Drosophila melanogaster: one gene and its partner. Changing the gene in region 2 together with the main gene of any one other region gives a genetic interaction. Each region holds a gene or a part of one and is shown on either strand. Other genes may lie near its edges. The genes, in order: Rab5 and DCTN2-p50.

What was found.
Region 1: of DCTN2-p50 (region 2) and Rab5, changing one suppresses a phenotype caused by changing the other (phenotypic suppression), as found in Drosophila melanogaster (one study listed by BioGRID).

What each region holds. Positions count from the first base shown.
Region 1 is NT_033779.5:2,359,198-2,367,357, forward strand, and holds Rab5 (Rab5), read right to left. Parts: upstream 6,077-8,160; 5' UTR 5,864-6,076; intron 5,758-5,863; exon of another isoform or gene 5,640-5,757; intron 5,525-5,639; exon of another isoform or gene 5,116-5,524; intron 4,308-5,115; exon of another isoform or gene 4,208-4,307; intron 3,585-4,207; exon of another isoform or gene 3,478-3,584; intron 2,659-3,477; exon of another isoform or gene 2,542-2,658; intron 2,389-2,541; 5' UTR 2,232-2,388; coding exon 1,963-2,231; intron 1,896-1,962; coding exon 1,775-1,895; intron 1,605-1,774; coding exon 1,436-1,604; intron 1,373-1,435; coding exon 1,272-1,372; 3' UTR 1,259-1,271; intron 1,197-1,258; 3' UTR 369-1,196; downstream 1-368. Other genes in the region: Axud1 (AXIN1 up-regulated 1), read left to right, coding at 7,124-8,160.
Region 2 is NT_033778.4:8,889,990-8,894,049, reverse strand, and holds DCTN2-p50 (dynactin 2, p50 subunit), read right to left. Parts: upstream 2,219-4,060; 5' UTR 2,097-2,218; coding exon 2,061-2,096; intron 1,977-2,060; coding exon 1,055-1,976; intron 989-1,054; coding exon 804-988; 3' UTR 711-803; downstream 1-710. Other genes in the region: Sec31 (secretory 31), read right to left, coding at 1-105; CG8272 (uncharacterized protein), read left to right, coding at 2,750-2,800, 2,932-4,060. UniProt on the Drosophila melanogaster protein: Modulates cytoplasmic dynein binding to an organelle, and plays a role in prometaphase chromosome alignment and spindle organization during mitosis. May play a role in synapse formation during brain development.

The DNA of each region.
Region 1 (8,160 bases), on a different chromosome or scaffold from region 2:
TTATTATAATTTATAAATTTTAAATTTAAATACATACAGACAACATAAAAATTACGAATTGGAAAGAAATATGCATCGGATCTTTGATGTTTGTGGAACGATTTAAACAAGTTGTTTACGGTATTGTGTTGTTCGATTTGTTTTATTTATTTATTTTAATTCACTTTACTTCCTCTCCGCTTAATTGCATACTAGATGTAAGTTTAATTTTTATGGATTACGATAGTATCTCCGTTCTCGTTTACGTTTAAAGATAGTAGCATTAAATCTTCGATTGTTGCTAGAATGTGGAAAATAGTTCAACGCAAGGCGAAATTGAAAAATAAAAAAATCTAAAAGTATGCATAATTGGTTTTCTTTTTTTTTTTGTGGTTTTCGTTTTCCTTCATTTTCATATGTGTATATATAATTTATATAAATTGCAACTATCACACGTGTCCGCCGCGACCCGGAGTCGAATCATCCGCGTCCGTATCCGGATCTGGAGTCCGAGCTCCGGAGCCGTAGAGACACACACATTGCCACAAACCGAGGCGAGCGAGGATCTTCAGCCGCTGGCCTGAACATTTGCTCCTTGTGGTGTTTGTTTGTTTTGTTTGTTTTATTTGGAACGCTGCTGAGAACAACTGCAACTGGAATCTGCCCCTTACTTAATGCTCAGAATCTTACACGACATGTAATCTTTACAAATATTCTTTGCTCGCTTAGTTGGTTTCGGGGTTTCTCTCTTTTTTTTATACAATACGATTTCAAACTTTCTACGACACGATGAAATCTCCAAAAACCCTGCGCTTTCTTCTCATGTTTAGTTTTCATTATTAATTTGCGTTGTTATTTGAAATGGTTTATGTTGGAATTATACTGATATTTTAGCTCAATTGCGTGAGTGTCAGTTTGCTTGTATATTTTTTGGACAGATATCGAGCGTAATGGGGGAAATCGGGTGTGGGAATTTGTAACTAACTTTCTTTAATTGCAACTTTCGTTTATGTTGGGAATGGGAGCTCCTTTGTTTAATGCTTATAATTCTTATGTGGTCTTTATCATTATTGGTTTCGTGGCTCTCAAATGAAATTCGTCCCCTGCGAGAGCCGGCTTTAGGTATTTCTTTCTGATTCTGTTGAATTTTTAAATAATTTTTTTATTTATAATTATCAGCATAAACTTTTCAAATCTCTCGTTGGAAATTTCATTTTCTGTAAAGCCAAAAAAAAACTGTGTTAGTAATGCAACCGTATTTCCAACGCAATTAACTTACCTACGAAGGGACATCACTTGCAGCAGTTGTTCGTCGGTCGATTTGTTTCGGTTCCAGTCGGCCTTATGCTGGTTCCCTGATTGTTGGCGCCATCGTTCTTAGGTAGTTTCTTGGCTGTGGTTGGGGTAGTGATTAGCAAAGTTTTCGAAGCGTTTACGACGGCTCCTTATAGCTTACCAATGGCCAAGAAGATGTCGTTCACATTCATGCCCGTCTTGGCGGAGGTTTCCATGAACAGCAGCCCGTTCTCCTCGGCATATTGCTTCGCTTCATCGAACTCTACGACGCGAATGTTTGACAAATCTGCCTTGTTGCCGGCCAGCGCAATGACAATGTTTGGTGAGGCCTGGAAAAAAGTTTTATTAATACATATTTTATGTAATATAATTTACGTATCAAGTGAACGAATTTCTCGAGTTAAGAATATTGAACTGAGGCACTTCATGAGCAATAATATAAATGATTATAATATTAAAACACTCTGCACGATATTCAAGTTTCCCCGCTGACACTCACTTGTTTATGCAGTTCCTTGACCCAGGTCTTCGCACGCTGAAAACTGTCCTGATTCTGTATATCATAGACGACAATAGCGGCCTGCGCTCCTCGATAATACATGGGAGCTAAGCTGTGGTACCTACAAAAGCGAATATAAGTATGTCAGATGAAGCTTTCAGTTGGGTGATCTATCCAGCGATACTTACCGCTCCTGGCCAGCCGTGTCCCAGATCTCGAACTTAACGACAGTGTCCTCTATGCAAATAGTCTGTGTCAGAAAGGCCGCACCTATCGTGCTCTCCTGGTACTCGTGGAACTGTCCCTTGACGAAGCGCAGCACCAGTGAGGACTTGCCCACAGCGGACTCGCCGAGGAGCACCAACTTGAATTGGCAGCTTTTGTTCTGCGAGGTGCCATTGGGCCGCTGCGCCGTTCCAGTGCCGCTGGCACCGCCGCTGCGTGGAGTGGTTGCCATGATCGGTTCGGGTTGGATCGGATGCGAATGTGGATGCGCTCTTCCTCCTCTGAGATGGCAACTGATATTTGGTTCTACGGACGGTTACTGCAACTCACTCCCTCTTCTGCTGAGTAAGTCTTTCTGCTAAGATTGCTGCTGAGTGTGGATGCGGAATCTGCAAAATACAAATAATGTACATATTTATAATGGAGACGGATAAAAACGAAATTGAGTGCTTCCAATTCTTCTGCCATAATGGTACGTTTTTAGGGCTTAAACTCAGTCCCCTTGAAAACATGCTGCCCATGTGGATGAATATAAAACCCACATAAAACCATCAGATGATTGTGTGGCGCCTTTGTTTGTTTAATGACGCCGTCGACAAGCCCAGTTCAATATGTACATATCCGAGAATATGCACAAAAAGCCGACGTTTTCCATCAGTAAATGAAACAGAGGAAAAGGGAAGCGTCTGCCAATGGTCACTGATAAATTCAATTGAAATTGAAAGCAGTACGCCCTACAAAAACTCACATTAGAGCTTATATTAGTTTATTTATATTTATATTTATAAGTGTTACACATCCGAAAACATATCATTACTATTTGTGTCACTTGGCAACATAATAGTACTGATAAGCTTGTGATAGGAAAATCAGTGAAAGCAATTGTTCCACGATTAGATGTTCAATGTTATGAGTTGTGTTTAGAAAATTCCTTGCGTGACTGCTTCAAACATCCACAAACACAAACATTCTTAATTACATGTGCAAATACAAATCCATCAACAACTAAAAATACTTTGGCAAACACAAAGGGGAAACCTTATATGCGCTTTCTAGGCGCAATTATTGTTTTTCCCTTTCTTCGTGGCAGATAAGGGGTTTACAAGTAATCGAAACTACAACATTCTTATCGGTCCCTTGTGCGGGAAATCTAAGTTATCGTAAAAGATATTTATTGCAGCTCCTCTAGGGGCTACCGCGCAATTGATAATTCACACACTTTCTGGTGGAAAATATTTCGAGGGCGGGTGAATTTGTGTACATATGTGTATAATAGTACATAACACAGAGGACGCCTCGCATTATTCAGCGGTAATGCGTGTGGCATTCACAGTATTTTTGTTATCAGTGCCACTTTTATGAATCATACGCCCCATTGGCCACTACACTTTTACCGATGTCCCACAGATACGTTGATCCCGAAACAAGATATCGTTTTAAACAGAGAGTAATCATTAAAATTGTTTAAAAATATTTACTGTTGCATATATTAACTAAGCTAAAGTCGTTTTCAAATCTTCACAAAGTATCGTTCACATGCTTTTCGTTTTTATGACCGACGACGGGAATCTCAGAATTCCGACAGAAATTAATTAACACATTGAAGCCAGACTGTACAGTGGAGATAAATCTACGAAGATCGGGGTATGGAATTCTACACGAGTCTTGTTTACTTTGTGGAGAGAAGTGAGCGCAGAGCGAAGAGAATTCACAGAGTGAGGGCGGAAGCTGTGATAAAAATCAATGCAAAATAAATTAACGGGGAGACGTGGAGAAAGTAAAAGCGTGACAAACATGTACGCTGTGCGGCGTTATTAAATTAACAAGGAATGAGGGAGAGAGCGAAATATGCAGGCCCTCTCTTTGCCATTAAAAATGCAGTCAGTCAACAATTGTTTGTTTCTCCCCCTCCCTTCCGATCATTCAATTGTTTTTTTCCCGGAGACTTTGGAGCCAAGTGCACAGTCACACACACATACAGAAGCCGACAACTTGGTCTCTCTTTTCGAAAACCGCACTCTCATTGCGATAAAGAAATTTCGCCTACAATTACTTTTCATTATCCAGCGAATGACGTATTTTGCTGTTTTTTGCGTCTAAGCCAAAACGAAAACTGCACTTTAAATTTAATTAAAACAAGCAGTGTGTCTCACTAAGCCAATGCAAAATTTTCCTTGAGAAGCGGACAGCTGTCAGTAAATAACTCACCGCTAATTTTAATTCGAACCGTAATTAATGCGGTTTATTAAACTTTAAAGTCACTTGGACAACAGGAGTGACTTTCGCGCCCGTCTGCGGAAAATTCAATAAAATATAAAACAACGTTCAGGAAATTACGGTTCTTTTAGAACAGCTGACGATGCGTCATTCACGCGACTAATACAAATGCAAGTGAATCAAAAAAGAGAATGAGAGCGAGAACAACAACCATACGTAGCCACAGCCTTTATCAATCAAATAGCTGTAATACGTGGAATTAAGTTACAAATCTTATGTTAGATTTTAAAGATATTTAATATAAATATGAAATAAAGAAGAACGTCCACATAGCTTGTGCTTAATTTTAAGCATGAATTAAGTTTTAAATCCACCTTTGGAAACTTAAAACATTTTCATTATATCAACATGGCCCTATTCACGTGAGCTTGACTGTGGAATTGCCTCACTCGAAAAGTCAACAAGTGCAATTTTCTCAGCACGCATATTTGAAGCACGTCTAGAAAACGGAGAATACAATTAGCGTTATATTTACTGTCACACCACACATCACTCCGTAAATATGTATAGCTTGACAAATGCGGGTCTTCCATTTGCAAAGCGAGCGAAAAGGTCTAGAATAAACAAATAGAAGGATGCGTTTTTGTTTACATTTGGGCTTTATAGAAACATCAGAGACAAAGACAGTTCTTTGAGAAACTTGCACGATAAGGGAACGGATTGCCGATAAATACACACACACCACACACCCACACTCTCTCTCATAACTAAAGACGCAAAACAGGCGGAACAAAGAACCGCGATTTTTGATCCGTTTTGGCGTGTAAAGCGCTGATAAATTGGGTGATAATGCGGGCCAAGATCCGATTTTGCCAGCTTTACTCCATACCAGAGTGCACCTGCAGTGTTCTTTATCTCTTCACAATTAGATTCGTGAACTATCTTAGGCCTTGCGACCCACTGTGCACGCTGCACTTGGAGCAGGTCGTACGGCCGTCTCGCTCTAGCGCCCACTCTCATGGGCAACGCACCCAAAATTCAGGGCCATCTATCGCGCTCGCTCTTACACTCGCACTATGGCGGACGGGGCGAAAAAATTTTACACAACTTTCTTAATTAATTACGAGGGGTGAGCGAAAACAACAACGCAAAAGCACTCGACTTTCCGCCGAATTACGCACTCTTCTAAACGCGGCACTTGGAGACCAGTTGACCATTTGCATTTACGTTTTTTCCTTTCAATTGTGTGCCCCAAAACAGCCCCAAGAAACGAAACGAAACGAGCGCAGAGGGAGATAGATAGCGACTGACTCGCCTCTCGCAAAATTATCGTCGCGTCGCAGGTCGTGTTTTTGTCGATTAACTTCCTGGGCGACGTCACCATTGATTTGCCAAAGATTTTTGTCTTTTTTAGCTTCCTTGCCTTGCTAATGGCTAGCGAAATTATCGCCTGGTTTATTAGTAAACTTAACTTACAACTTTCTTGGAATTTTATGTGTGACCGCAGGACGACTGTTGGAATATGCCAAACATATCCTAAGCTCTGCTCGTTAGCAGAGGCTCCAACCAACGATACATATTTCTATCGATTAGTGGGACCAACATATTACACAATATAAATAAAATTTTAATATAAACATTTCTTACCGTGAATATACAAAACATATTTCTTTGCTGCACGAGTCAACTAATGAATCGTAAAACGGGTATATTTTACATAATAATTGTCTTACTATGAATTTATGTAATCAATGAGCTTGCAGGAACCGGCTCCATTGGTGAATTTGTTTTAATTTTTCTTCTGAATTATTTCTTAGCAAATACACGCACCATCTACTAGTGAGTCACATTTATCTATCACGCTCTATCGTATACACTTTTATCAATTTTTGCCTGGTATTTTTAAGTACATTTGGATCGGTGCAGGACTGTTGTCATGTTGCAGGGGTCCAGCGACGGGCACACTGAATAGAAGAAGTAATAACATTGCGAGAAAAGAAGAAGTGAAAAATTAAGAAAAAGTTTACGGAAGTGCGAAATGAGTTTTAAAAAATAAATCATAATTTTGGGCGTTGCCAGGCGCATAGTAAAGTGATTGTGTTAATAAAAGAATACCGACCTTTGTGTCCTGATTCGCCTCCTTCACGCACACACTCGCACAGACTTGCACAAACACACGCACACAGTTGCGTCTTTCGTCATCTCTCTCGCTCTCAGTTTTTTATCGCAGCTGCAACGCAAATTGCAAAAAGGATAAATCCCACCGATCTTGCGAGTCCGGCCGTTGGCTTGGCTGCGAAAATATAAGCGCAAAGGTGGGCCCCCAAAAAAAGAAGCTAATCAATATTGATTTTGGTTAGCGGTATGTCTACTTTTCGGGTGGTCTCCTTTCTAGCGTGCGAAATTCTCGGGGATCCAGGATTTCAAAGGATTCTGCACACGCACACCCATCCAAGCACAGTGCTCATTCGAAAAAGCGAACATACAAGTGAGCGGAACATTAAAGCGAAAGATATATATTTTTAAACCATTACACGTACACAGAAAACAATTGATTTCTTGCGAGCAGTAAAATTAATACTTGAGCTAAATTAATATTTCTAAATATTTACACAAGTTGTAAAAGGTACACTCATTAGGCTTTTGGCAATTTGTTTGTTGGATCTAGGACCTGGTCAGGGGCTCTTACGAAACGTAAACAGGTGTAATTAATTTACTCAGAAATAAAGTTTCGCATTCCCGGCAGTTCTCCCTCTCGAATGGACACTGTACATACACACCTGATCTATACGTTTTCGCTACCTGCGAAGGAAATTTCCAAGCAACATTATGTAAAACCATTTCCTCCTACTTTCTTGCAGATGACCAAAGGACACTCAATGATCTAGGGACCTCGACACGGATAGCATGTTTAGTCCTATAAAAAAAATATTTACGTACATACAAAAAAATGCGAGCGGCTCCAATATGTTTAGCCCATCAGGAAACAAGGCCGCCGGCCAAAGGGAGGGGACCACCAGCCTAACTGCCCACGACGAAGGCGAAAGGAAGGATCAGCGGCATCTGGATCACAAGGATAATCAGAGCGAACCGGAGGAGCGGCAGCATCAGCTGCAAATATTTCCCCACCTGGACGATGACGACGACGACATCGAGAGGCAGATCAAAACCTCCATAATTGACGCCAGCAAGGTGCACGCAGCGAAAGCCAAGGCGTTGGCTTCCCTACCCATGCCGCTTGAGCAGCTCGATGATGAACTGGCGGACTTTGCTCACGGCCCGGCGGACACCGAACTAGAGGAGCAGTTCCTTGAGCTGGAGAACTATCCTAATAATGAGATAATCGTACTAGGCGATGCGGATCTTAACTCTTCAATAGCTTCCGACGCAGTCTCCGAGGACCCACTGGCAATTGACAACATTCTTGACTCCGCGTCGGTCACCACAAACGAGGAGGTCGACACCAGTGGAGAACTTCTTTGGCTGAAGTTGAACAATGAGACGGAAATGGCCACCAGATCAGCGGAGGTGGTGTCCAACAACCAAGCATCATTGGAGCCTGCCCAGCCAGCCAAACCGAAAGAGGATGAGCTTAGAGATGGTGGGTCTGATTCTGGTTTAGGAAGTGAAACCTCCGCGTTACTCAAGGATCAGGCGGAGAAAGAAGCCGAGCCGGAAATCCAGAAAAAGGTGGAAACGAAGCCCATAAGGTCCAACCTTAAACGGAGACTCGAAGATTCGGAAAGCGATGCTATAGATCTGGTGCCCGACATGTCTGCCCCTCCAGTAGCCCCCCAGAAGCGGACTAAGCGCTCCATCAACTTTGACGAGGTGAAGGTGTTCTACTTCCCACGACAACAGGGCTTCAGTTGTGTACCAACGGCGGGCGGATGCACCTTGGGCATGGGTGCAAGGCATGTAGGTTTTAAGACGATGACCCTGGC
Region 2 (4,060 bases):
GGAATCGAATTGTTGGGCGGCGGTGCCGGCGGCCAAGAGAATCTGCTGCTGCTGCGCCGGCGACCAGGCGATGTTCACCGTCTTTTGCAGTTCCTTGATCTTCATCTTGCAATGTCCCTTCGTGCTGCTCGTGTAAATAAAGCGAAAAAACACAAATATTATGGGAGGTACAAGTTCAGAACGAAATTGTGTCACGTCCAATTGGAGTAAGCCCCGTCATCACTTTTCCCATTGGCTTCCCCATTGCAGATGTGGCCCAGTAGTGCCCGCCGGCCTTTAAGTATCTTTAATTATGCTAATTGCGCAACTTACACACAATTGTGAATGCAATTTGTACTCGCTTGCGCTGCAACGAGACTTTTTGATCTTGAATTTAACTGGAATCGTTAATATTTTTAAGAACCGTAGGAACGGCCAGTGTGACCGTGCTCTGAGCCAACGTAATATACCACAGGGCACGCACTGAAATACCAAATGCGTGCGACCAGAATATACTGCGAGTTTAACGGTATGCAATTTAAATATTCCGTTTCAATGTGCAATTTTAAAAATAGTTTTTATCAGTATACATTATTAAAAATGATAGTCGAAATTATTTAAAGATTTATTTTCCATCGCATTTTATATTCGTAAACTAGCTTCAGCACTTTTAATATTAATATTTATTATGAACTCATTTTAAATTCCAGATCACTTTGCATTTATTTTTTGACTGGAACTGGACTCGAATGTAGATCTCTTTATTATAGGTATCTTTCATAAATATAAGCTATGTTTATTTAATACGCATGGTATGCATCCACTCATTTGGCAGACGATATGGCCGCCACACGCTGCTCCACCTTGGCCACCTTGCTGTTGATAGTCTCCAGATTCTGGGCGAAAGTCTCCTGTACGGAATGCAGCAGCTCCTTGTTGTTCACCAAGCTAGTGGTGATGGTTCCCTGCTTCTGCTCAATCTCTGCGATGATCTTGGCGAAATTGTTTGCTGCAGAGCAAGTTGATTAGTTACAGAAACAAGCACAATGCTAAAATGCTAAATAGAATTGCTTACCATATTTATGGAGGGCCTCGAGGGCTTGCATGCGTTCGATGACGTGCGGCAGTATTTCCACCACTGGCTCCGTGCGCTTCGCGATGTCGTATAGTTCCGTAATCTTCTGATCTCGTTTGGCGTCCTGGGCACTGCCGCTGGACTTTTCGGCGATAGCATCCATCTTGCCGGCCAGCGAGGTCAGGCGCTGCTCGATGGTGTCCAGTTTATCAGGCTGTATCAGGGCCGCCTTGGTGCTTAGATGACGCACTGCCTCTAGTACATTGGTGGTGTTGGTGGCGGCGGTAAGGCGGCTCAACTTGTCCGGCTGAGCGCCCAGCACCTTCTCCAGCTGCGAGATTCGCTGCTCTAGACTGGCTACGCGGGCCGTGGCCGCCAGATCGGTGCCAGGCGTGGGTATGGCTGTGAGAACGCCGGACTGCTTGAACTCCTCCACCTGGCTAATGAGTGCTTTCACCTGCTTACTTCCAGGCGTCTGCTCCTTGCCCAGCACTTGCTCCAGCTTCAGCGACTCCAGCACCTTTCGGGCCGTGCTGATAACCGTGGCCACCGCATCGTACGACTGCTTCTCCTCGTCGGCTACCTTGCGGTCCACCTGCAAGGCGGCCACCTCGTTCAGAAGCTCGTTCATCTCGATCTGCAGGCGCTGGCACTTCTGCACCGGCGTCTCCTTCTCGCCCTGGCCAACCAGCTCGTAGTCGCTGGAGCCGCGCGTATCGTAACCCCGGCACATGCGTCGTCCAATGCGATCCGTGAAGTCCACACTCCCCTCGACCGTTGCTCCGCTGAAGCGCTTGTGAGCGACGCTCGGCGAGATGTGCAGTCGCTCGATGGCTTCGTTCTCCGGCTCCTCTTCGTAGTAGTCGGATGTATCGAGCTCCGGGTCATCTGGAGTTTCGTACACGTCCGGCTGGTCATAAGCCTAAAAACATAAAGTACATATATGTATAAATGGGCAAAAACGAAAGCTTAAACGTCACTGCCATGGTGCGGAGTTCCGACTTACTATTCCCGGTAGGTTCTGGAACTTGGGATCGGCCATTATTGTGGGCACGTCGACGGCGGTGTTTGGAATCCTTTGGCAACGAAATAATTATAAACCTTCAAAAATCCTTTTTTACAACAATCAATTCGATCTGATGTCATAAAAAAAGTTACCGTGCGCGGTTACCAAACAAATGCCAAAGTGCAGTTGTCATTGGAGTATTTATAAACAGAGGTATCTAAAAAGTCATTTAAAAAAGACAGTTATTACTTGTAACGGCTAATAAGCTAAGAGTAAATAGTATTGCAAAATATATCATCGATATAAATAAATTGTACTTGCACATTGTACTTTGTTAACTGGATTCATAGATGCAAACATTTATAAAAATAAATTAAAGCTTTTTGTGCTAATTTAAACCTATTTTGATTTTAGGAAAAACGATATACATTTAAAATCATTCATAAGCAATAGGTAAATAATTCCATGATCGACTTCCAATTGGTAAATCAATGAAGGTACACTTTTCTTCTGGTATTTTATAGACCAGTGAGGATAGAAAAAAGGCACGGTCCTACTGTACCTAGCACAGGTACTAAGTTAGTCAACACTGTAGTTTTCGTGTAGTTTGCGGGCGAAGCGAGTGGGCGGTGGGAGCTGCTAGTTGGTTGTACTAATCTTAATATTTTGCATCCGAAAACAATAGAGTAATGTCTGGCTTAGAGTACGGGTTGCATAGATACGATGATCTGCCGCTGGAGGTGAGCATATAATGTGAACGGACTGCCGCGGTCCCGTGACCAATCCATCATTTCGAGCGTATCTATATCTGCATATTCATATACCTGTTAGGGCAGTCAGCTGATTTTGTTTTTTTCTGTTCCGCCCCCAGATTGTTTTGAAGATTTTCAGCTATCTCGGCTACTCGGACTTACAAGCGGCAGGATCCACCTGCCAGCGATGGCATGCGGCGCTGGATCAGGCGGAATTTAACCAGCGCACGCGAGTCTGCTTCTCCAAGGTGGTGCTATCGGATCAATTGAGTCCTGGAGTGGATCTGATGCGCTGCGAGCGGCGTTTCCAGCACTTCCTGTTCGAGGACGTGACACTGGGACAAGTAAAGGAATTGATGCGCTTCATGGGCAGGACCGCTCAGTCCCTGGCTCTGGACAATGTGGATTTGAATGACAAACAGTTCTACGGCATGCTGGGCGTGCTGCCCCATCTCCACTCGCTGTCGCTGAAGCGCTGTCTGCCGCTGTTCATGTCCGGCTCTTTCCTGGACTCTTACAACAACTCCTGTCCTGACCTAAACGACCTGGCAAGCAATCTGGCCGGCATCAAGGAGCTGACGCTGTGCGAGAACCAATACCTCACGGATGCCATTCTTATGCGTCTCACATCGTTCATGCCCAGTCTGGAAGCGATTAACATGTCCGGCTGTCACATAGCCTTTCACAATGCTATTCATCGCAGATTTTACCCTGCCACCAGCTCCTCGGATCACGTTTTGCCCAGCGAGTCTGTGCTCACGTTCAAGTTCATCCTCACCATTCTGAACCTGCAGCGACGTACGTTGCGCGTGTTGAACTTTAGCCACACCCTAATTGGCCAGGCTTTGTTGGCCCTTTGCGACCTCAATCTCCAACTGCAGCGCCTCTATTTGGCCGGATGCAGACAGCTTAACTGCACCACAATCCTGAACTTTCTAGCCACACAGCCCCAGTTGTGTGCCCTCGATTTGTCGGCCACAATGTGTGTTAACGATGAAAATCTGGCCGCCTTGGTACAAACTAATCCGCAGCTGGAGCACTTGAAGGTGAACGGCTGCCTGAGCATTACAAATGCTGGTGCCATCCACTTGGCCAAGCTAAAGTGTCTCAAAAGTCTGGACATCTCAAACTGCGATAACTTGACAAGCAGCGGCATCATAGAAGGCATCGCTAGCGAGGAGAATCCGGTAATACAGGAGCTGAACGTTTCATACCTTCAGATCTGCGAGGAATGCATCAAGGCAATTG